Linked DNA regions of Caenorhabditis elegans. The protein of the gene in region 1 interacts with the protein of each later gene in a pairwise test. Each region holds a gene or a part of one and is shown on either strand. Other genes may lie near its edges.

Region 1 (14,309 bases):
TCTCAAGAAATAATCATTTTGTCGTGATAACTTTCGAATCGTTCATTATTTTTTAAGTTTCCGGTTTGGCAAACTTTTGTAAAACTTTTGTATACTCAAATGTTGTAATTCACTAAACCAACTAATTTTTTAAAACATTCATTACACAATTAATTATCAATCATAGCAGTAGCCGCATGACTTTCAATCAGACACCAGTTAACACCACGTCGAATCTTGACATATCCATGAAGACCCCAATCGGAATTCCACGAGTTTCTAACCAACCAATACGGGACACCGTCATCTGATGTACCATAACCAACAATTGCTACGGAATGCCATTCCGCTGGTGTCATTTGGTAACAATCTTCGGATTGAAGTACTCCTGATGTGTACCATTCAAAGTTCTCACCCACTCGGAAATCTGGAAAAATTTGAAAATTTTTTGGAAACTTTTTTTTTGGAATTTTTTTTAATTTCAAAATCTTATAACTTATCCAGTTTTTGAGATATTAACTTTTTCTTTATTTCAAAATGTGCGCAAAATGATTCACTATCAGTCTGCAAAAATTTCAGCGTTCAGCCATTGTAGACCACAGTACCACAGGACTTTTCGCGGTCAAACCAAAATTTTGAAAAAAATTTTTTAATTAAAATTTTTAAAATTCCAAAATTTCGTAACTTTGTCAGTTTTTAAGATATTTACCTAATTTTTATTTCATAATGTGTGCAAAATTTTTTACTGCCAGCTTATGTAATTTCAACTTCAAGCCATCTCAGACTACAGTACTCCAAGAGTTTTCGTGGCGGGACACAAGTTTTCAAAAAAAAAAATTTTTTTGCAAAATTTTTTAAATTTCAATACTTCAAAACTTAGCCAGTTTTTGAGATATTCACCTAAGTTAAATTTCAAAATGTGTGCAAAATCTTTTACTATCAGGTTATAAAATTTCAGCTTCAAACAATCTCAGACTACAGTACCACAGGACTTTTCGTGGCGGGGCCAAAATTTTGAAAAAAAAAATTGCAAAAATTTTTAAAATTTCAAAGCGTTATAACTTTGTCAGTTTTCAAAATTTTTAGATAATTTTTAACTTGACAGGAGCGCATACTCTTTCTCTACTAGAATTCAAAGCTCAGAGCCATTACCCAAGACTTTTCGTGGCGGGACCAAAATTTTGAAGAAAAAAATATTTTCTTTGCAAATTTTTTCCGAAATTTAAAACCTTATAACTTTGTCAGTTTTTAAGGTATCTGACTTATTTTTATTTCAGAATGTGTGCAAAATTTTTTACTGTCAGCTTATAAATGTTCAGCTTCAAGCCAATTCAGACTACAGTACCCCAGGACTTTTCGTGGCGGGACCAAAATTTTGAAAAAAATATTTTTTGCAAAAATTTTTAAAATTTCAAAGCAACATATCTTTGCTAGTTTTCAAGATTTTCAGATAATTTTTATTTTGACAGGAGCGCATACTTTTATTCTACTAGTTTGCAAAATTTGGGCTTCAAGCCATCCCAGACTAAAGAACTACAGGACGTTTCGTGGTGGGACCCAAATGCTAATTTTTTCGCAAAATTTTCAAATTTCAAAACCTCATAATTTAGTCAGTTTTTAAGATTTTTTTTTCGTAATTTTTGCCAGATTCACATGTTTCAGGCCCAAACCATACCGGATTACTGTACCCCAAAACTTTTCGTGGCGAGACCCTTCAAAAAAACTTACAAACTGCTGTAGGGATATGATTGAGATACAAATTCTCCATAATATCCTCCTCTGCATAATCTTGATCAAATCGATAGACATTTAAAGTTTCCGGCTGGATTACTGTACTTTTCTCGTCGCCCACGCAATTTCCAGTGGTATTCGCCCGATATTCCTCGTAAGGGTAGTCACCGTCACTGGACTGTCCCCGTAGATGCACCATTTTCAGACCGTTCCTTGGATCACCTCCCACGCACCCAGGAGTGTCTCCTGAATCTGCACAATCGCAAATTTCCTGGTCCGAGAGACTTGTGAAGGACTTGGAGTAGAGGGTGTTGGCAGCTTCGGTGATGGCAGTGGTGGCGAACGCCCAGCAGCAACCGCATTGTTCTGAAAAGTTATCAGTTGAAAAGAGCGTAAAATTTAAAATGGAAATAGTTTTTGAAACACCAAAAAATAAATATTTTGAAGGGAGTTATGAAGGTTTGAAGTTGGTGGCCTAGAATTTCAGATGAGGCCACCGGTATTTGGGGGAGTTTTTCAAGTTAACAATTAAATTACAAACCGATTGGCTTTTACAAACTCCAAATACGTCGATTTTGAAGCGAGTTATGAGAGTTTGAAGTTGGTGGCCTAGAAATCCAAATGATTGTTTTCTAGGCCATCAAAATTTAAGTAGGTCATATTGAACGTAAATTTCATGGTGAACAAAATTATTTTTACGGATCTCGAAAATATCAATTTTCCGCCGAGTTATATGGGATTGAAGTTGGGTCCTAGAAATCCAATTTGGTGTTTTTCTAGGCCATTAAAAATTAACTAAGTTAATTTGATAGTAAACTTTATGGAAAGATACATGCTTTTAACAAAACCCGAAAATATCAATTTTCCGCCGAGTTATGACGGTTTCAAGTTGGTGGCCTAGAAAGTTTAAAAACTCTTCCACGACTATAACTTTGCTTAGAAATTATAGTTTTCAAACCTGAAATTGTAAAAACATTGAGTCTAAGTTATTATTGTTTTCGAATAATTGGTGGCCTAGAAAACCTGAGCATGATTTTTCTAGGCCACCAACTTCTAACATTCATAACTTGGCGGAAAATCTACATAATAAAATTTTGCAAAAACCAATTTATTTGTCTAAAAAATTGCAATAAATTTGACCTACTTGATTTTGATGGCCTAGAAATCCAAAAATTTCTGCATTTCTAGGCCACCAACTTCAAACCCTCATAACTCGGCGGAAAATCAATATTTTTTCGCCAATCAAAATCTGTGTTTACTCAAATTTTAAGCTTTTTCAAATTAAGCATACCTTGATCTTTAACAGGACCAACAACTGGACTCCCATCGACATAAATATCACGGAGGTCGAAATAGTCCGGAATATCCCCACTTTGACGTTTTGAGCGTTTATTATGATGATTACGACTGCCACGTGGATGCCTCGGCTTGTAAATTGGAAGATCCGTGTGGTTTTTGGGATGAATCTGGAAAATTTCCAAATTATTTTTTTTTAATTTTCGTTTAAAAAAAAAGAATAATTAGAACTTAAAGAACGCACCGTGAACATTCTAATACAATTTTCAAATTTCAAAAATATTGATTTTCCGCCGAGTTATGAAAGTTTGAAGTTGGTGGCCTAGAAACCCAAAATTTTGGATGTCTAGGCCATCAAAAATTAAATAGGTCAGATCGATTCCAAATTTCGTAAGTTGGTTTTTGTAAAATTCAGAAATATTGATTTAAAGCCGAATTATGGAGGGTTGAAGTTGGTGGCCTAGAAATTAAAAGTTAGGCCACCTGCTTCAAATTCTTGTAACTTGGCTCAAAATCAATATTTTTGAGTTTTACAGAAACAAACTTAATCAACTTGAATTTTGGAATCAATTCGGCTTATTTAAAATTGGTGGCCTAGAATTTTTCAGGTTTCTAGGCGACAAACTTCAAACCGGCATAACTCGACGGAAAATAAATATTTTTCAGTGATTCCAAAACTAACGTATATGTCTCAAAATTTGAAATCGATTTGACCTATTTGATATTTCGTGGCCTAGAATTTCTAATATTTGAGTTTCTAGGCCACCAACTTCAAAACGTCATAACTCAGCTCAAAATCAATATTTTTCAGTGATTCCAAAACTAACGTATATGTCTCAAAATTTGGAATCAAATTGATCTATTTAATATTTGGTGGCCTAGAATTTCTGATTTTTGGGTTTCTAGGCCACCAACTTAAAACCGTCATAACTCAACGGAAAATCAATATTTTTCAGCTATTCCAAAACTATCGTACTCTCCCTAAAATTTGAAGTCCATTTGACCTACTGAATATTGGTGGCCTAGAGTTTTTAACTGTTGGGTTTCTAGGTCACAAACCTCAAACCGTCATAACTCGACGGAAACTCAATATTTTTCAGTGACTCCAAAACTAACGTACTTTTCTCAAAATTTGAAATCAATTTGACCTATTTGATATTTGGTGGCCTAGAATTTCTAACTTTTGAGTTTCTAGGCCACCAACTTCCATCTCTCATAACTTGGCTCGAAATTAATATTTTCAGTGGTTCCTAAACTACCGTGATTGACTTGAAATTAGGAATAGATTCGGCCTATTTAAAATTGGTGGCCTAGAATTTCTGATTTTTGGATTTTTAGGCCACCAACTTCAATCCTTCATAACTTTGCTCAAGATCAATATTTTTCAGTGATTCCAAAACTAACGTACTTGCCACAAAATTTGGAATCGATTTGACCTATTTAATATTGGTGGCCTAGAATTTCTGATTTTTGGGTTTCTAGGCCACCAACTTAAAACCGTCATAACTCAACGGAAAATCAATATTTTTCAGTGATTCTAAAACTAATGTACTCTCCCTAAAATTTAGAGTCTATTTGACCTATTTAATACTGGTGACCTAAATTTTCTAAATTTCCGGTTTCTAGGCCACCACCTTCAAAACGCCATAACTCGGTTTAAAATCAATATTTTTCAACCAATCAAAAACCATCTTGCGCAGAATTTTGTGCGCTTTTTGAAAAAACTCCCCAACCTTTGAATTTCTGGCGCTCAACTCCTGTCGATTCTTATCAGCAAACTTATTCCACCCAAAAGTCACATTTCGTCCTTCTCTCCTTGCTTTCGCATTAAGTTCCTGGATTTTCTGATGATTTTTCGCGAAATGAGCCAACCGGCGGTCTTTCTCCGCCGGGGTACGGTAGTGTTTCTTATGGTGCATCGTGAAATTGTTAAAATGTGACAGTACCTCCTGAGAGTGTTGGGTTACTGTAGGTTGGCATAGAGAGAGTAGGAATAAGGGGGAAATTATGAAAAGTAACATTTTTCAGGTTTTTACGGGGTTTTCGCTGGTTTTTATAGGTGGAATCACGCCGATCAACATGTTCAAGGTAACAGGTAACATAAAATGATAAAATATGAAAAAAAATTGTTCTTGTTTCAGTGTTACTCTGAGCCCTGAAAGTTTAGTTCTCCAAAAAAAAAAAAATTTTTAATCTAAAAATTTAAAAAAAAATGTTTTTTTTTTTTTTTAATTCCCTCAAAACCCTTCGCAATTGTTCTAAACCAACTTAGCTATACTAATTCAAACATTAAAAAAATATTGACCCTAGCGGGGGTTCGAACCTATGACCCTCCGCACATAACCATACCTCTTCCCGCCTGAGCCACTTTGACCCAGTTTTCAAACTGCTCCAAAATTCGCGTAATTTAGTTGTTTTAGGCTCAGAATTTCACGATAATTCCAGAAATTTAACTAGTTTTGATCTACGTTCATGTTGAACAGAGTTATGAGTAAAAAACTTTAAATCGATCAATTTCTTGGCTCAAAATTCGAAAAAAAAAGTTGAAAAGTTAATATGGGTGTCAAAAAATGTCTAAATTTTCTGCAGAATTTGGAAATTTATGCTAAAATCGCTGAAAACTTCAAGAAATTGGCAAAAAACCAAAAGAAAACACATTTTATCGATTTTTTTCAAAAAATTCCCTTAAACCCTTCCTCCCCTTCGCAATTGCTCAAAACCAACTAGGCTATACTAATTCAAACATATAAAAAATATTGACCCTAGCGGGGGTTCGAACCTGTTACCCTCCGAACCATAGCCTTCTCTCTTCCCGCCTGAGCCACTTGACCAAGTTTTCAAACTGCTCCAAAATTCGCGTAATTTAGGTGTTTTAAGCCTGAAATTTTACGAAAGTTCCAAAAATTTCACCAGTTTTGCGCTATGGTCATGCTGAACAATGTTATGAGCAGAAAAACTTTAAATTATTCACTTTTTGGCTCAAAAATCGAAAATTTATATCAAACCAAATTTTTTTGTCTATTTTCAGGAAAAAACATGGAGTAAGCTTCGTTTTTATGTTTAAAAAAGCTAAAATAAATGAAAATTTAAGAGAAAAAAACCCGATTTTTGAAGTGAAAATCCAGTTTTTTGGGGGAACATAAAAATGGAATAATGAGGTTTTTGAGCAAAATTTGATAATTTTAAAGTGAAAAATTGAGATTCAAAGAGGAGAAAACAGGCGAAAAATCACCGCAAAATTTCAGTGAAAATGCTCATTTTTTGACAGAAAATTGGCAAAAAGTGACAAATTAAAGTAGACATATGTAAAAAAAAAAAAAGGGGGTTTCAGGGGTAAAAAATGATGAAAAATTCGGGAAAATTACAAAAAAATGGATTAAATTTACGATTTTAGGGGTAAAAATGATGAAAATTCCAAAAAAATCCGAAAAAATTATCAAAAAATTCTTCTTCACATCAGTTGAATATTTCCATCTTCAACCAATTGATGTACCGATTCGAACGGAATCAAATGACACGATTCCGGTTCCATTTCCAAAATCACTTCTCCATTCAAATCCTGCCAATCCGGAATCGCAACGTTGCCCACGTCATCTGACGTCACTTTTGCGTAAACCATGACGTCATCATGATCGCCACGTGGAACTGGCATCTTTTTAAGCGCTGCTGGCATGAATTCTGAAGAAAATTGAGAGTTTTTGGGAAATTTTTTTTTTTTTGAAATTTTGAAAAAAAAAGTTTTTTTTTGGGAATTTTGAAATTTTTTTTTTTTGAAATTTTGAAAAAAAAATTGTAAAAATTGCCACGTGGCATTAAGCGAAATTTTGCAGTTTTTGAGAGAAAAAAAAACTGCAAAAAAAATCGAAATTTTCCAGATTTTCTGAGCTTTTACGCAAATTTTTCTGAATTTTTGAGGTAATTTTCTAAAATTTTAGCGAAAATTTTAAATTTAATTTTTTTTTAACTTAAAAATGAAACTTTTGAAATGCAAAAAATAAGATTTTTATTGATTTTCCACAAAAAAAACAAATTGCAAAATTTTAATTTTTCCAAGGAAATTTTTTTTTTGAAAATTCCAAAAAAAATCGATTTTTTTGAAATTAATTTTAAAATTTGAAAATTTCTTAAAATTTGTGAATTTTTATGGTCAATTTTACCAAAAAAATTGTTTTTTTTTGAAAATTCAAAAAAAAAAATTTTTTTTAGGTCAAAATAAATAAAAATTCAAAAAAAATTCAAATTTTGAGAGAAAAATTTGAAGTTTCGAAAGGAAAACTTTCAAAATTCAAAAAATCAAAAAAAAAATTTTTTGACATTTTTTTTTTCAAAATTGTAACAAAAAAATACATGAATTTTCAAAAAAATTTTCAAATTAGAAAAAAATTAGGCTTCTAGTGAAAAATTGGCCAATTTTTACGATTTTTTCAATAAAAAATCGCAATTTTCAACCAAAAATCCATCCGCCGTACCCAGGACAGTTTTCTGAAAAAGGTTCGACTCCGCTAGAGCATATTCTTCGGCGAATTTCATCTCAGATTCCGATAGTAGATCACTTTTTCCCTCTTCTTTTCGTTTTTTGTGTTGATCGATTGCGTCGTGTGGATTTGATTCGATTTTTTGGAGGCGGCATCTGCAGAAAATTGTTCGAGAAAATTAGTGAGAATCTACGAAAATTTGGGAATTTTTTGGAAATTTTCGTGAAAAAATGGGCAAAATTCGATGAAAATTGAGGATTTTAGCGTGTTTTTGAATTTCAGGCACTACAAACTACAAGTTTTGGGCGCTGCTAATGAATTTTTGGTCCATTTTTTTCATTTTTCGCCCTTTTTTTCGGCAAAAAAGCGCCAAAACGTCGAAATTTGCGCTGCTTTTCAATTTTTTTTTCCATAAAAAATCGATTTTTGTACAAATTTTTAGACAATTTTTGCAAATTTTTCTGCAGAATATAGCTTTTTTTCGATTTTTGATTAATTTTCGGCTGAATTTCCAAGTTTTTCCGATTTTTTGATACTTTCTCAGCAAAATTTCGCATTTTTCGCCGATTTTTGATTAATTTTCAGTTAAAATTCGCATTTTTCGCCGATTTTTCACTATTTTTTCGTGAAAATTCGCATTTTTCGTGAATTTTCGGCTAATTGTCACTCTAAATGTGAAGTTTTCTCGATTTTTAACTAATTTTCAGTGAAAATTTGCAATATTTCATGATTTTCTCCATTTAGACGATTTTTAATCAATTTTCAGCGAAAAAATGCATTTTTCGTGATTTTTTATCAATTTTCTGCAAAAAATCGCATTTTTCGCCGATTTTTAATCAATTTTCAGTGAATTTTTGCATTTTTCGTGGTTTTCGACCATTTTTCCGTGAGAATTCGCGTTTTTCTCCGTTTTTTTAACTAATTTTCCGTGAAAATTCCCATTTTTCTCCGTTTTTTAATTAATTTTCAGTGAAAATTTCCAGTATTTCATGATTTTCTCCATTTTGGACGGTTTTTAAACTAATTTTCAGCGAAAATTCCCATTTTTCTCCGTTTTTTCACTATTTTTCGTGAAATTTCGTATTTTTCGTGGTTTTTCGCTACTTTTCTCCATTTTCGGGGCTCATTTTCCCGCCGCACACCTAACATAATCCGACGTAATAAACCCAATGCGTTGAAGCTCGACTCGATGAACTGAGATTCTCAGCTGCATTTTATCCGTTTGTTTTCCAATATTTTCCTCCATTCCCTGAATCTGATCAAGTAGGATTTCGACAAGTTCCATTTGAGTTGGGAGAAGGCACGGAGCACACAGCTCATTTTGCCACGTGGCTGTCATTTTTCGGAGCACTTCTTCCGGTGTAGTCATCTCATCGTATTCGTCGTCGTCAAAATCCAAAAAGGTTGTTGCAGAGTCGGTGACGGCCATTTTTTTTTTTGGAAATTCTGGGGAAATATATTTTTTTAATTTAAATTTTTTTTTAGTTGAAAAAATTTTTTTTGGGAAAAATAATATTTTTAGTGCCAAAATTGAAAAAAAAAATTTTTTTGGGAAAAATGTTTTTTTTTGAAGAAATTCATCATTTTTAGGTGAAAATTAATTTTTGAAAAAATTTTTTTATTATTTTTTTGGAAAAATAATTTTTTTTTGTGCTAAAATTGAAAAATTTTGATTTTTTTCAGGAAAATTCACATTTATATATATTTTTATTTAGTTTTTATGGGAAAAATAGTTTTTTAATGGAAATTTTTAATTTATTCGAAAAATTTGATTTCTCCTTGTTTTTTGGCAAAAAAAAATATTTTTTCAAATTTTTTTGGAATTTTTTTCTCAGTTTTTCTATCAAAATTTAGTATTTTTTGGGAAATGGAAACTCTGGAAATATATTTTTTGAACTTTAAATTTTTTTTGGAAAAATAATATTTTTAGTGCTAAAATTGAAAAAATTTGGTTTTTTTTGTGGAAAATTAATTATTTTTAAAGGAAAGTGAGAAATGTTAATTTTTTTCAGTAAAAATTGAATTTTTTTTTTCAATTTTTCAGACTAATATTGATTTTTGGGTGAAAAACGTTTTATCATAAAAATCGGGGTTTTTTCCTGTAAAAAAGGAAATTTTTTCGGAGTTTTAAATTTGGAAAATTAAATTTTTTTAAATTTTTGTATTTTATGGAAAAAATATTTTTTAGTGGAAATTTTATATTTATTCAAAAAATTTGATTTTTTTTTTGCAAAAAATGATTTTTTCCAATTTTTCAGATAAATATTGATTTTTCTAAAGAAAAAAACCAATTTTTTGAAATTTTTTTCCAGTTTTTCGATTAAAATTGAATTTAATTGGAAAATAGAGTTTTTTAGTTTTATATTTGAAAAAATATATAATTTTTAGGTGGAAAATTAATTTTTTTCAGGAAAATTCACATTTATATATATATATATATTTCAAGTTTTTATGAACCAAATAAGTTTTTTTTTCGTAAAAAAAATATTTTTAGTGGAAATTTCAAACTTATTCGAAAAATTTGATTTTTCCATTTTTTTTTGCAAAAAAAAAAAACGATTTTTTCCAAATTTTCAGAAAAATCAATTTTTTGGAATTTTTTCTCAGTTTTTCTATCAAAATTGAATAAATTTCGAAAAAATAATTTTTGCTGGAAAATTCATATTTTTATATATTTTTTTCGGACCAAAAATAAACTTTTTTGAAATTTTTTTTTCACTTTTAAATTTCAAATTTTAAAATTTTATATCCAAAAATATAATTTCTTTTAGTTTTTTACAGCAAAAAAAAAATCTGAAAATCCTCAAATCCCGATTTAAAAAAAATATATAAAAATCATTGGAAAAAACCGCAAAATTTCAACAAAAAAAAATGCAAAAATTCGTCGAAAAAGTGTGCGTTTTCATCATATAAATAGAAAAAAAGAAAGAGAGAGAGTAATATGTGTTGGTGGGGTGTTAAATAGCACAAGATACGAATAAATTAAAATTAAAATCGTTAAAAAAAACCATGAAAAAAAGGAGATACCAGCAGCGTGGAGTTCGGAGGGGTGTTACATATATATATATTTCAGAGAGAGAAAAAAAGATCATTTTGGTGGTTTTTTTACGGGGGAAACAGAATGGGGGTAAATATGTATATAAGGGGGTGGTAAAACATTTTAAAAAATGCGATCGGAGGAAATAGGATTAAAATTGGGAAAATTCAGTGAAAAATTTTGTAAAAAAAATTCGAGAAAAAATGGAAAATTTTGAGGACAAAATTTCCAAAAAATGCTCAAAAATTCGCAAAAAATCTGAAAAAATAGGGAATTTTTGAAAAAATCCAGAAAATTTTAGAAAATTCGGATAAATTTTGGGAAAAAATCAGCGAATTTTCTAAAAATTTTGAGAAAAAAAATCTGAAAAATGTCCAAAATATACCAAAAAATTCGCAAAAAAATCAGAAAAATTCAGCGATTTTTCACAAAAAATTTCCAAAAAAAAAAATCCGAGAATTTTAACAAAAAAATGCGCAAAAAAAATCAGAAAAAAATCAGAAAAAATTCAAAATTTCCATAAATTATTCCTGTTTCTGTTGTGAATCTCCACCGTCTCCACCTTCATGATGTCCCCCGGGTGGTCCCATTGGACCTCCCTGCTGCTGCTGTGGTTGATATTGTCCGTGTGGTGGTGGTGGCATTTGACCATATGGCTGCTGGTATGGGTGTCCTGAAAATACTTTTTTTGGATTAATTTATGCTTTTATTAGTGTTTGCTAATTCAATTTTGGGCGCTGCTAGACTACAAACTACAAGTTTTTGGGCGCTGCTTAGACTACAAACTACAAGTTTTTGGGCGCTGCTAAAACTACAAACTACAAGTTTTTGGGCGCTGCTTAGACTACAAACTACAAGTTTTGGGCGCTGCTAATTCAATTTTGGGCGCTGCTTAGACTACAAACTACAAGTTTTGGGCGCTGCTTAGACTACAAACTACAAGTTTTGGGCGCTGCTAATTCAATTTTGGGCGCTGCTAAAACTACAAACTACAAGTTTTTTGGCGCTGCTAATGCATTTTTAGTCCAATTTTCTAATTTTTCGTTTTTTTTTTGGAAAAAAAGTGCCAAACGTCAAAATGGGCGCTGCTTTTCAAAAAAAATCGATTTTTCGTGCAAATTTTCGCGATTTTTGCCAATTTTTCAGCAGAATATAGCATTTTCCTAGAAATTTGATGATTTTTCTCGCAAAATTAATAGTTTTTTCGAATTTTTAGCGTATTTTTCTGCAAAATTTCGAATCGTGCTTGATTTTTGATATCATTTTTAGCTGAATTTATTTAAGTTTTTACGATTTTTAGCCATTTTTCAGCGAAAATTCGCATTTCTCTAGTTTTTCAAATAATTTATCTGAAAAATCTCGTATTTTTCGTTTTTGGGCGCTGCTTAGACTACAAACTACAAGTTTTTGGGCGCTGCTAAACCAAATTTTATCGAAAATTGGTCAAAAATCAACATTTCAATGAAAAAAAAAATGCTTAAAAATTCCAAAATTCAATAAAATTTCAAATTTTCGACAATTTTCTAGCCATTTTTCGGGAACTGACTGCACTGGAAATTTGAATTGAAAATTTAAATTTTCAGTGTTTTTTGGTTTCGGATTTTCTACAAAATGCCTGGAAAAATTGCAATTTTTCCATTTTTTGGCGCTATTCTTAGTGAAAATCTCTCAATTTTCGTCCATTTTTCATCGAAATTGGCAAACATTTTCGCCAAAACGTCACTAAAAAGCTCAATTTTCGATTTTTCCCAGAAAAAAAATCCATGCTCCCAGGAATTTTTCCGGACAAAATTGCATTTCAGGACTAAAAAATTCAAATTTTTTCGGATTTTCTGAAAAAAAATCGTATTTTTTTGCGATTTTTGCAGAAAAAGCCGAATTTTCCGGGACTAAATTGCATTTTCAGGCCTAAAATATCTATCTACCTGGCTGCGGTGGTGGTGGATAACCATATCCCCTCTGCTGCTGAGGCGGCGGCGGGCCCGGATACGGTTGAGCCTGATATGGTGGCCTCTGCTGCTGTGGCGGATAGCCTCCTGGCGGCCCGTACGGCTGGCCCGGTGGCGGCGGCCCTCCATAGTATTGCTGGCCTTGTGGTGGTGGTGGTGGGCCTTGTCCTCCACCCGGTGGGCCATAGTGAGCCTGAGACTGGGCCTGCTGAGCCTGATGTTGTTGTTGTTGTTGGGGTGGTGGGTATGGTGAGTATTGTTGGCCTTGTTGTGGTGGGTAGCGGTAGGCTTGTTGAGGGGGCCCTCCAGGCCCTCCATAGCCTTGGTAGGCTTGTGGTGGAGCCTGTGGAGCCTGAGGAGCCTGAACCGGCGCCGGAGCGGCCTGAACGGGGGGAGCTTGCGGAGCCTGTGGTGTGGACGGTGGCCGAGCAGCAGTCGCTGCTTCCGAAGTATCCATCTTCTCTGGAATCGCAGCCTCCTGAGCACTAATCTGCACCTGAGGAGTAGGCTGTGGCGGGCCGGTAACCTCAAATCCAGGTGGAAGCCCAGCCGGAAGAGCTCCAGAGCTTGTCATCCGAGAATGAGCTTCATGTTTAGCCCGATTCTCGAGATATTTAAGCTGATCCATATGAAAAGCCTGACGTTCAAGAATCAACTGATGCCGTTGATATTCCAACGATTCCCGCTCCTTATCCATAATCTGCTCGAGCTCGTCAAAATGACGAAGCTTCATCTCAAGCTTCTTCATTTGAGTCTCGACAAGCTGTGCGACGAGGCTTTTGATACGGCGTTCCTCAATCTGAGCCAGATGCTTGGCTTTTACGGCGGCGGCGGCTAGGCATGAGGCAGCCGCAGCCTGAACTCCTTTATCGATGGCTGATTTCGCTTCGGTCGTTGATGGAACGTCGTCGTTGGTATTGGTATCCATTTTTTCATCGGAATCTGCAGAAAAAAACCGTTTTTTTGGCGCTCTAAATCAGATTTTTTCCAAATTTTTTGGAGTTTCTGGTGGTTTTTTACCATTTTTCATGAAAAATTTGTGAAAAAAAGTTATTTTTAACAGTTTTCAGCGATTTTAACGCTATAAATGACCGATTTTTTGGTGAAAATTGGCTCAAAATGATGTTTTTAATTTTTTTTTCAAAATTTTTATACCATTTTTGAGGTTTTTCATCAGTGGAAAATGTAAATTCGGAAAAGAAATATACATTTTTAAGCTATAAATTCATCAAAAAAAAAATTCAATTTTTGAACTGAAAACTCGAAAAATCTCCATTTTTATAGATTTTGAATAAAAATTATCGAAAAAATGGATTTTCGGCTGAAAAACTTCATTTTTTTCCAAATTTTTTGGAGTTTCTGGTAACTTTTTACCATTTTTTTCATAAGAAAATTTGTGAAAAAAAGTGACTTTTTTATAATTTTAAATCAATTTTTAACTAAAATTTCTTGAAATTTAACACCACCGGCTTCTTCAACAACACTGCGAAGCTATCAAAAGTACGGAAATTGTGTGAAAACCCGGAAATTTCGCATAAATTCACCTAATTTCTCCTATTTTTCTATGAAATTGATGAAAAAAAAACAGTGAAATTGGCTTGAAAAATGGAATTTGTGACGAAATTCACAAATTTTTTCGCAAAACTTGAATTTTTTTAAATCGAAGACCGCCCGCCGCCACGTGGAAATTTGATTTTTTCACATAAAAAGCAAATTTTTTTCGAATTTTTCTCGAAGAAATGGATTAAAAGTATAATTTTCAGTGTTTTTTTTACGAAAAATTACTGTTTTTAGCGATTTTTAGGATAAAACTTAAAACCCTATGAATTTTTGATGAAAATT
Region 2 (10,295 bases), on another chromosome or scaffold:
AAATTTTGAGAAAAAGTCACTTAAAATTTCGATCAAGGTCCGTGAAATGTGAATTTTTGGTGTTTTAATAAAAGCTTTTTGGAACGTTTTTTATTAGTAAAAATGTTGTACTATGTTTTAACCCAGGTCAAAAAAATTCCAAATTAATACTCATTTAGAAATTCCCAAATCTACAAATGCTATAAATACTTGCTACTTGACCATTAAATTTTTAGGTACCTCTTCCCATTTCGACCATAAGCGATTCGATTCCGAAGAGCCCGGATGGAGAGTGGAATCCACATTTCTTCTGATAATTGTGGCTCTAATCGTAATTGTTCTCATAATCACGTTAGTCGTCTGGAATATCTGCTGGGGTATTAAAAAACGAAAACTAATCAGTGACTTTCAAATGCAATTTGTGCAACAGTACAAGCATCAGAATCAAGTTAGAATTTTGAGAATTTTAGAAAATCCGTGATTGATGTTTTAGATTCTTCAGCAAAATGGGACGGAATTTGAAGAAATCGAAGAGCAAGAAATTCTTCAGTCACATTCACAATCATTGAATCGCAAGCGACTTATTTTTAGTTCAGGTTAGTTACATTTTGAAATGTTTTATTATTCTAAACGAACAGACTATGTACATCTCAAGCTTAGGGATAGGCTTAGGCTTAAGTTTAGGCCTGAGCCTAGGCTTATGCGTAGGTTTAGGCTTAGGCGTAGGCTCAGGCTGACGCTAAGGCTAAGGCGTGGGCTTACCTGGAACTTGCTGAAACTATAATACTACGCTGAACTGCCAAGTCACTTGGAAGTTTTGCCTGTCGTAAAATTGCTGCAAGACCGAACAGAAAGAAAACTCTCTGGCACCACGTTCGTAACTATTTTCCAGAATACTTTGACTCTGCACAAATGACCCATCCGTCACCGCTAGCCATACAATTCCTTTACGACTTGCGACGAGTTGTAGATGTTGCAAAGGAACGTATACGTCAGCGCCGCTTTATTCCGGCGCTTCCAGTTATCATTGAGGACGTCGAAAATGAGATAGATTACGTGGAAGCTGTTGAGGGGCCAGTGGATATCGCTAGTTCAGCGACGCCCGAGTCGTCGCCACGCAGTGAGCAGAAATCAGTGGATAGCGGGAGAGAATCGAGAGATGAATCCGAGGAAGACGAGGAGACTGCTCCTGGGACAGAGGGGCAAAAGGAGATTTCTACAATGACACAAAGTAAAGTGTCAGATATTGTGAAATGTATGTTCGTTGATTGCTGCCGAGAGGCCATCACTAGGTCGCATCAACATTACAGTATATTGTTTCTTCACTTCCACGACTTTAAAGGAGGGTGAGTTTATCCGAATTGGTCTCGGCACGCATCATTCTTTGATTTTTGAAGCGCGTGGCGGGACCATTTCGAATAAATGCGCCCTCCTTTAGAGTCGCAGAAGTGGAAAAAAAAAGGGTGCTTATGGGTTTCGTTCCCCCAAAATGATTTTAAATTATTTAACACTACCTTTTTAATTTTAATCCACACGTGAATGTTTATTTTAATACTGTTTTCATTTTTTGGCTTAGAAAATCATTTCCCTAAGCCTGAGAATGAAAAAAAGTTCACGTCTCAATTAGAAAATATGGAAATCATTTTGGGGGGAACGAAACTCATAAGTACCAAAAAATGCACTGTACACACGTTTTATAAAAGACAACATCCAAGATCAATGCTTATTCAAAGTGTTTTTTTTTCTAAACAATTTAATTTTATTCCAGCTTTTGAAAAATCTGCTCCCCGGCCTTCATATGTCCCGATTATGCTGAACTCCTCGATGCGGAAGAAAAAACCGCTGAAGGTTGCTTCAACAACCCACGTGGATTCTCCAGAGGAAGTAGCTCAAGCGTTTAGAAGTCGAATTAAGGCGCCAACTGCGTTCACCGATAAAAAAAGGTTCGCCACGCCATCGCTTTTCAAAATTTAATTCCAAGTTTCTTCAGTCCTCGTGAGCGAAAAGGATATGCAGTTTTTCCATCTGATGGAACGTTCAACAAGTCATTGCCACGTCGAGGAAAACGCCAACCGCATGCACCACTGACAAACTAGTAGAAATAATCTATCAACACCATTTCCCTTGAGATCTCCAAATTTTCTGTGTTATTCATTTCGAGAATTTGTCAGGATTTGTCTTAAATTCGGGTACTTTTTTTCTGTTTGAGACAGCAATGAAATTGTAATTGTTTTAATTGTGAAAAATAAGTGTATATATAGGAATAAAACACTATAAAGGTGTTGATTCGTGTTTATTACGGACGACAGCTCCCATCTGACGACAGGCCTCCAAAGTGGCACGAGCGGACGATGCTTCAATCAGCTGAACGTTGTCCAATTGAGCGTGGCAGGTTTGGTTCTGGAATTGTTAAGAATTGGATTAGAAATATTTTCAATAATTTTTGCCAACCTGTCTCAAGAATTCGATCGCTGAGCTTCGAAGTTTTGCGTCCCTCCGATCATAAATGTCCTGAACCAATGATTTGACAGCTTCAACTTCGAATATATCCTCACGGGCATCTCGAACAAGCATATGCGAGATTTCAAAGAAATGATCCGGTAATTTCGCCAATCCTTGGCTTTCAGTCTCTGACGTCAATATCTTCTTCAGCTCATCTACATCCATCCATTGAGGAGCCACCACCTTGCAATTGTGTTTTCGTTTCATCAAAATCGCTGTCCAAACTGGAATCCGACAGGGTACGCCTGCCTCAAATGGACCAATATCGCCGGAAATCAGGTGAATCGGCCGGTCATCGGAAATTGAGGGGATCACTTCAATAAGCGAGTTTCCGGCGATGAACTCGCAACGTTCTGCATTCATTTTTTGATCTGAAAATAATAGTTTTTCAATTGAAAATATAAATTAAGAAAAGAAAATATAAATTGAGAAGAATAACTTATTTTAAAAATTTCTAAAACCCCTCCGATATTGAGGCCTTACACTTCTGATGGGAAAGTATTCCATAGAACTCAGATTTGTGAAATAAAATCTTAAAAATACACAAAAAAAAACGCTATAAAAATGGATACTTGAAAAATTTTGAATTTTTTCAATTAGAAAACGTTAATAGTTACAAATTTCGGCAGATAAAATCAAACATTCTATAAAATATTAGTAAGACCACGCCCGATATTCTCGCGTTCTTAGTTCACAAAACTATCAGCAAACGCGCTACAATTGCACGTGCGAGAGAGTGGAGAGCGCCAGAGAAGTGTTTGAGCAAATCGAGCGTTCATGTCTCGAAAAGGCTCGCGATTTATTGATTTTCTCTCGGCAAACTGATTTATTTTTTTCAAAAAACATTTAAATATTCTTCTTACAAATATTTCAAAAATATTACCACACAAAAATTCTAACTTTCCATCCATTTTTCTCTTTTTCTCGCTACCTTCTACGAAAATTGCTGAGTACTCCAAAATTTAAGATGTTCGGACGAATTGTTTCTCGTTTAACTGCACGGTTATTTCTAAAAAACGTATGGGAAGAGCATGGAGAACGGGCAGAACCGAAGGATGCACTCCGCGCCGTATTGCTCATCGTTCTGTTCGCGCTCACGTTTGCAGCCGGAATGGTGAGCCAAAACTTTTTTTTGTCATGTTCGCATGTGATGTGATCACATTTCATTTTGAAAATTTCGTCAACTTTCAGATAGCCACGTTTCTAAAAGGAGAATGGGCGCGGAGCCATATTCTCTCGTTCATCTCGTGCATCGGTGGTGGAGTTTTTCTAGGCGCCTGCCTTCTTGATTTGCTTCCAGGTGAGAAGTGGAAAATTTTGCAAAAAAAAAAAAACATCAGAGAAATGCTATTTTAGTCCAAATTTTGAAGAATATTCGCCAAAAATCCCATTTTGGCAATACACTCGCTAAAATGTAGTAGAAAACCTGAAACATTTTGCAGACTCAATAGAATCCTTCGAGAAGACCAAGATTGCAACGGAGTTCCCAGTTCCGTTGGCATTTGTAGCAGTCGGATTTCTATTGGTTCTCACAATTGATCAGGTTGTCAAAGCGGCGAAAGACCGAAATGTATTCGGACATGTTGGATACCATATTCATAGTCATAATCATGAGCATCAAAGATCTGAAGATGGTGAATCACAAGAAGAAGGAGACGAAGCTGCCGCCCAATCGAGTATTGGAGTTGCCATGCTAGTATTGGCACTCTCTGTTCATGCTCTGTTCGAGGGACTCTCGTTAGCTGTCACGTCAGATGCTTCTCAGTTGCTTCAGGTTCTGCCGGCTACCTTAAAACTACTATTTTCTTCATTTTTAAAATTAAAATTAGAATTTAAAACAAAAAATGTTTTTTTTTTTTAATTTATTTTGCAGATCTTCGGAGCGCTAATACTTCACAAATGCATAATGGGCTTCTGCCTTGGAGTTCGTCTAGTTCAAGCAAATCTAACAACTCCATGGATTGCACTTGCACAATTCCTTTTTAGTGTTCAAGTATTGATTGGTGGTCTAGCTGGAATTGGAATCATGAAATTTATCAGTGGAGGAGAACAATCATTTGCTGCAATTGTCTCATCAATTCTACAAGCAATTGCCTGTGGAACATTCTTGTATATTACTACTTTTGAAGTGATTCCACATGAATTGCATAATGGAAAATATCGAATTCTCAAGATGTTCTTCATTTATATGGGATTTGCAATCGTTGTCGCTTTTATCTTGATTTTCCCCGAAGCTTCTTAGGACATTTGTATTTCTTTTTCTCCAGGAATTCGATTAATTTTTGACATTTTGTAGCATTTTCTCTGCTTTAGTTTTTTTTTCCTAATTCTGTGCAATTTTACTCGATTTTTGTGTACATTCTGTGTCCCATCTTTTCGCTATCACACATTTTCTTGTACTTTCTCATCCCGGGTTCCAGCTCGCCATAGACCTGTGTATTTCATTCATTTTCCCAATTCCATTACTTAATATTTGACATTCCCGACGGCTTTAAAGCTCCCATTTGTTGTACCAAACCCACAATCCTAAGACTCACAGAGCTCATGTTTTTCTAATTTCAAAAATTGAATAACTATTATCTTTAACTTTTAGCCGTTTTTTCCAAATTTTATTTTAAGCACTAGACGCTCTCGTTGTTGTGATGCCTTTTTCTTTTAAAATTTTCTCAAAGTAACTGATATTTCAGACAGATGCAGCCGGACGCACTATGATAGTCCTTCTCTCCCTTCTGACAGTTTTTCTCATTTTTCTGAGGTAAATTTCTAGGCTACAAGTTTTTGGGTTTTGAACTTTAAAAAAAACGTACATTTCAGATTTTTTTTTTGTGTTTTCAAAAGAAAACTATGAAAAAAAGTTCATTTCTCTTGAAAAGTAAAAGGAAAAAAGAAATCTGTAAATTTTTTTGAGAATCTAAAAAAAAGAAATTTATGGCTGCAACATTAGTTTAAAATAACAAACTTCCAGCTACATCGATGTGATTCTATCGTGGATCTTCTCATTCGTTACAAAATCTCATGTTCGCATCGGAGGTGTGGGATTCGTTCAGTTGCGTGACGTCACCATCAAAATCTCGTGGCTCTCCATTCACATTGACGTAATCTCGTTGTCGAGGGATCGAGCTCATCCGACACGCTTTTGTGTTTTGCGGTTCGATGATGTGAGGATCGAGGCCGAGAAGAATGTACAGTGGTATGGAAAAGTGGAAGAGGTGGAAGATCCGTCGAAAATGATCAAATTAAACATCTGGACGTCTCGATTCACTCGAATCGCTCAGTACTGTGGTCTTGTGGTGAATCGTGTACATATTGTAGTAATGAATACGATACCGGATTGCCTGTTGCACGTGACAATCGACGAGTTGTCGCTTGAAACGTTCCGGAGCAGAGAAGGATGGCAATTCGAGACGTCTTGCTCACTAATACAGGCGAAGCTTTTGAGACGAGGAAGGAACAGTGGGAGCTTGCTCGCGGAGCTGTCAATGCCGTTTCAACTCTCTTTAGATATCGATAAGGATGTTGTGGATAACGTGGCCTTGAGGATTTCGTCACCGGCGATCGCGTTCAGTGATGACTTTTTTGAAGTTTTTAGCAGTTGGACTGGATACACGGAAAGAAGTGGCTCTGCAGAACTCAAAACTCCCCTGAAACTACTCCAAATGACCGTGGTCATCCACTCGTTCTCCATCAAATATACCACGAATAACCGCTACATCACGGCTGGTATAAAGCAAATCCAATTTACTAGAAACCTGGAAACCAGCATACTAGTGATTTCCGAGCTGAACATCGCAGATCAGCTGCTCAGAAGTGAGCTTAAACTTACCATGATAAAGTTTGAGACGGCTGTGAAGACGCTTCACTGCTCTGTGGAAGGAGTTCATGCTAAACTAGCGTTCCATGATGTTCAGTGGTGGAATAAGAGTCTTAAAGAGCTCCAAAGAATCAGTGGACATCAAGGATCTTCAGGAGGATCGAGAGGATCAGATTATCAAATCTTTCTTGAATTCTGTGATTTGTCGGCCGAAATTGTCGACTTTGAATCCCACCGATCGTGGTTTAAGCTAGGCTTTCTCACGTTTGAAAAGTCGAATGAAACGTCTACTCAATTTGAACTTGGAATCGAGATGCTTTTCTTCGGATCACAAGACGATCCTGAATCCCTACAACAATTCGAATACCATGAATGGGGGGAAACTCTATTTATTGGAGCATTTATAGCGCAATGGAAGAAACTTTCGAAGAAGAATTTGTTAGATATTACTGTGGGATGTGATGATGTGAAGTTCGAATGGTCCGATCAATTGGCTCGACAAATTGAAGGGGTTATTCATGGAATTCTTGGAGCCGAGCATTCTGCTAATGGGGAAGAAGCTGGGAATTTGTGCCTTGCGGTTCAAGTGTCGGCTAATAGGTAAAGAAAAAAATCCTGGCCCAAGAATATTTTCAAAATACCGCGAAAGACATTCTCTTCGGAGCGCGCCGTGGATTTTTCGGTGTTTTTGAGTGAAAATCAAAAAATCAAAAAATTTTCGATTTTTCGATTTTCTGGAAAATCAAAAAAAAATGTTCATGTTCAGAAAATTAACCATAAAATATGATTTTTAAAAATCTAATTTTGTTTATATTGATGAGAAAAAATATAAAATTTTTTTCTAAAAAGAAGAAGAATTATTATATAATGGCCAAAATTATTAGCAAATTTTGAAAAATCGAAAAAACAAAACAATTTCGATTTTACACCTTTGATCAGGAGCCAAATTGAAGCCATTTCAAAATATTTACCCGATCTTTAAAGTTGGAGGGAGACTTTTTTCAATAACAAAGAAAGTAATTACAGACTAGCCGTACTAGTGAACGCCACGAACAAATCCTACGCGGCACTATGTGCTTCCAAACTCGAATTTATTACCGATAACTGGCAAAAAGATGGCCTTCTCAAAATGGAGATGATGCGTGGCGCGACCGGAATTCGAGAAGATACTGAAGATCATGTTCTTCTCGCGGATATTTTCGAATCGCAGCGAGTAGTTGAAGAAGCAGCCGAAATTCACAGTTCACCAACTCGGAGATGGAGCCATTTGGAGAGAGAACGAGTATATAAAGAGGAACGAGAGAAACGAGCTAATCAATTTGAATTCAAATTCAAACAGTTCATTACGGTGAACACTTTGGAGTTTCTCATTGATAAACAATCATCGGTTATCGATAAAATATCAGTTTTCACATCGAGCGAGGTCTTCTTGGCGTGGTCTCCACAGCTTCATCTCATTGTTTTTGACGCTTATAAGTCTGTCAAAAAGTGAGAGTTTTATCAGGAATATGGGAGAAAATCATTTTTAGCGGTTTTTTGAAAATTAAAACTTAATTGAAAAAAACTACCGAATGCCAGAGGCTAGTCAGCAAATTTAAATTTAAAACACTTCTTTTGCTCAGAAAATTTGAATTTCCCGCCAAAATTTTTTGCCAGATAGATTTTATGAAAAATTGACATGATTTTTAAAAATTCTGAATTTTTTTTACCTTTCAAGAAAAAACAACAAAATCCTCTTGGTAAACATAATTTTCTAAATTTAAGGTAAAACAGTATAAATTAGTTTTTTAATTTGACATTTTAATATTCAATAAAATTCCTTTTTTGCAGAACCGTTCAACTCCTATCATTTCCGAATCCGTCAACTTTAACACGAAAAGTGCCTCGAAAAAAGCACATAATTCTGACCGCCGAAAATTTCGTCGAAGTTCAACTGGAGCTGGCAAGAAATAATCGAATGTTCTGGCAGGGAGAGAAATTTCGTTTGGAACGGCTTGATAATCAAATGAGAATGAATACGGAGATTCTTTATGTTATGCTCAATGAGCAAAGGATCATAAGTGTATTAAATCCAACGATCACGGTTCAAAATTCCGATGATCTGATGACGCAATCACGATCTGCATTTGCTACGTTGTCATCGGCCACGAATAAAGTTTGGATTTGGTCGGCCGATAAATTCATGTTCCGATTGCCGTTCAATTTTGATTTCGCGCAAATTTTCGATGAGTTTCTTCAAATAATCAAATGGATCAAGGTTGTTCATGAAGTGAAGAAAAAGGAGTTCACAGAAGCATCTCCACTGCCAAGTGATGTTCGGATTGAATTTCTAGAAGTTTGGTTAGAACTAGAGGATGATGAATTTGAGAATCGATTGAAGCTTAGTGCACAACTAAAAGAGGATGAAGTATATGAGTCTGAACGAAGAGAGCAATTGTTGGAGGAGAGACTTTTTAATTTGAAGAAGACGGCGCCGTTTTTGTCGAGTATGTGAAAAATCTGAAATTTATTTTTTGAAAAAACAATTAGTTTAAGACATTAAATGTATAAACCTCGATCTTTTACAGAAGAAATGATCGAAGCAATCAAAAATAGCCTTATCGAGAAGAACAGTGAGATCTACATTGAACGATGGAAAATGACGGAAGTCAGTGATTCTCCTCTATTTCTATCAAAATGGAAGGGTTGGAATATGAGAGCATTTGCTGATGTAACACTACATGGAACTGAAAAGTGTATTCAAATGATGAAGGCTTTTGACCCGTTGAGCCCGATTCCCGAGCAAAATTATTCCACTTTATGGGCTCGTGCTGTTGAATTTGATGTTGATGAATGGACAGTCACTTTTAAGGATTATCCAATGAAATATTTGGATATTAAGGATCTTCACTTCTTTGGAACTCTAGTTGCCGCAGAAAGCCTGTCCGAAGACGGGCGGTCACTTCGAGAGTGTGTGATTCCTCTTCCAGAACCGTTTCCAACTCATTCTGTATGGAAGAACATGTCTCCTATCAAGTTTTATTATGATCTTCAATGTGGTAAGTGGTGGAGGCTACAAAGTACAAAATTTGCCAAAAATTCATGATTTACAAGAAAAATTCGATTTTTTAAATCAGATTTTCCGGTTTAAAAAATTAGACATTCTAATTTTCGACTTTTTTAAAATCAAAAACGAAAATTTAAGATTTTTCAAATCAAAATCAACAGAACTGTAGTTTTGGAAAAAAAAAATCGACTTTTCGTCTTATGAAAGGATTCAGGTTTTGTGTTGATGGGGGGATGGGGTTGGTTGTAGTAGTACTGTAGGAGTACGATAGGATTACTTTAGACTTTAAAAATTACGTTCTATAGTTAAATTAATTTATGAAATGAAGGGGTATAATACGCAAGTACCAAATTTAGTTCATTTTTTTAATGTAGAAATACATAAGTACATCAAAATTTTTCAGCAAGTACCGAATACAACTGCACCTACGGCCCCTGCTGGGAACCGTGCCTCTCAATGATTTCCCTTGTTTGGAATAACATCTCGGCACCATCAAAAGACCCATCACAGCCTCTTCCATTTTGGGATAAAATGCGTTTTCTATTACACGGAAAACTATTATGGTCGAGTGAGAAGCTGGTGACGACGATGTTGGCTTCAACGGATCCCTATAATGAAACTGAGACTGTTGAAATGTTATGGGAAGATTTCGGGTTAGATTGGGCACTTGGAGAGATTCGAATCAAATCGGGGCTCAAAATATTCTTGAGAACAGCGTCAAGATATGACGATTCACAGATTCTCTCTCTTCCTGATGTTCGACTCAAAATTCTGTTAGGATGGGAATGTGGTGGAGATCCTCATGAGCATCACGGAGTTCAACTATGCTCCCCACAGCGATTACCGCATTATTCTTCGGTAAATTGAAGTTATTTGTGATTGATTGTTCTGTTTGTTATTAAATGCAGAAATACGACTATATTTAAAACAATTCACATTTTCCAGACCGAAGAACAC

What was found.
Region 2: the proteins of sld-5 (region 1) and psf-2 interact in a two-hybrid assay, tested with the Caenorhabditis elegans proteins (one large-scale study listed by BioGRID).

What each region holds. Positions count from the first base shown.
Region 1 is NC_003283.11:20,228,817-20,243,125, forward strand, and holds sld-5 (DNA replication complex GINS protein SLD5), read right to left. Parts: upstream 8,930-14,309; 5' UTR 8,911-8,929; coding exon 8,624-8,910; intron 7,637-8,623; coding exon 7,476-7,636; intron 6,685-7,475; coding exon 6,458-6,684; 3' UTR 5,989-6,457; downstream 1-5,988. Other genes in the region: Y113G7B.15 (Pept_C1 domain-containing protein), read right to left, coding at 150-406, 1,708-2,076, 3,002-3,176, 4,740-5,027; swsn-1 (SWI/SNF complex subunit SMARCC2), read right to left, coding at 11,043-11,200, 12,444-13,409.
Region 2 is NC_003279.8:15,045,574-15,055,868, reverse strand, and holds psf-2 (putative DNA replication complex GINS protein PSF2), read right to left. Parts: upstream 2,860-10,295; 5' UTR 2,845-2,859; coding exon 2,431-2,844; intron 2,380-2,430; coding exon 2,251-2,379; 3' UTR 2,197-2,250; downstream 1-2,196. Other genes in the region: zipt-1 (Zrt (ZRT), Irt- (IRT-) like Protein Transporter), read left to right, coding at 3,449-3,595, 3,673-3,781, 3,924-4,255, 4,355-4,723; bltp-2 (FMP27/BLTP2/Hobbit GFWDK motif-containing RBG unit domain-containing protein), read left to right, coding at 5,190-5,236, 5,447-6,892, 7,319-7,780, 8,123-8,778, 8,860-9,330, 9,742-10,196, 10,284-10,295. UniProt on the Caenorhabditis elegans protein: Required for correct functioning of the GINS complex, a complex that plays an essential role in the initiation of DNA replication, and progression of DNA replication forks.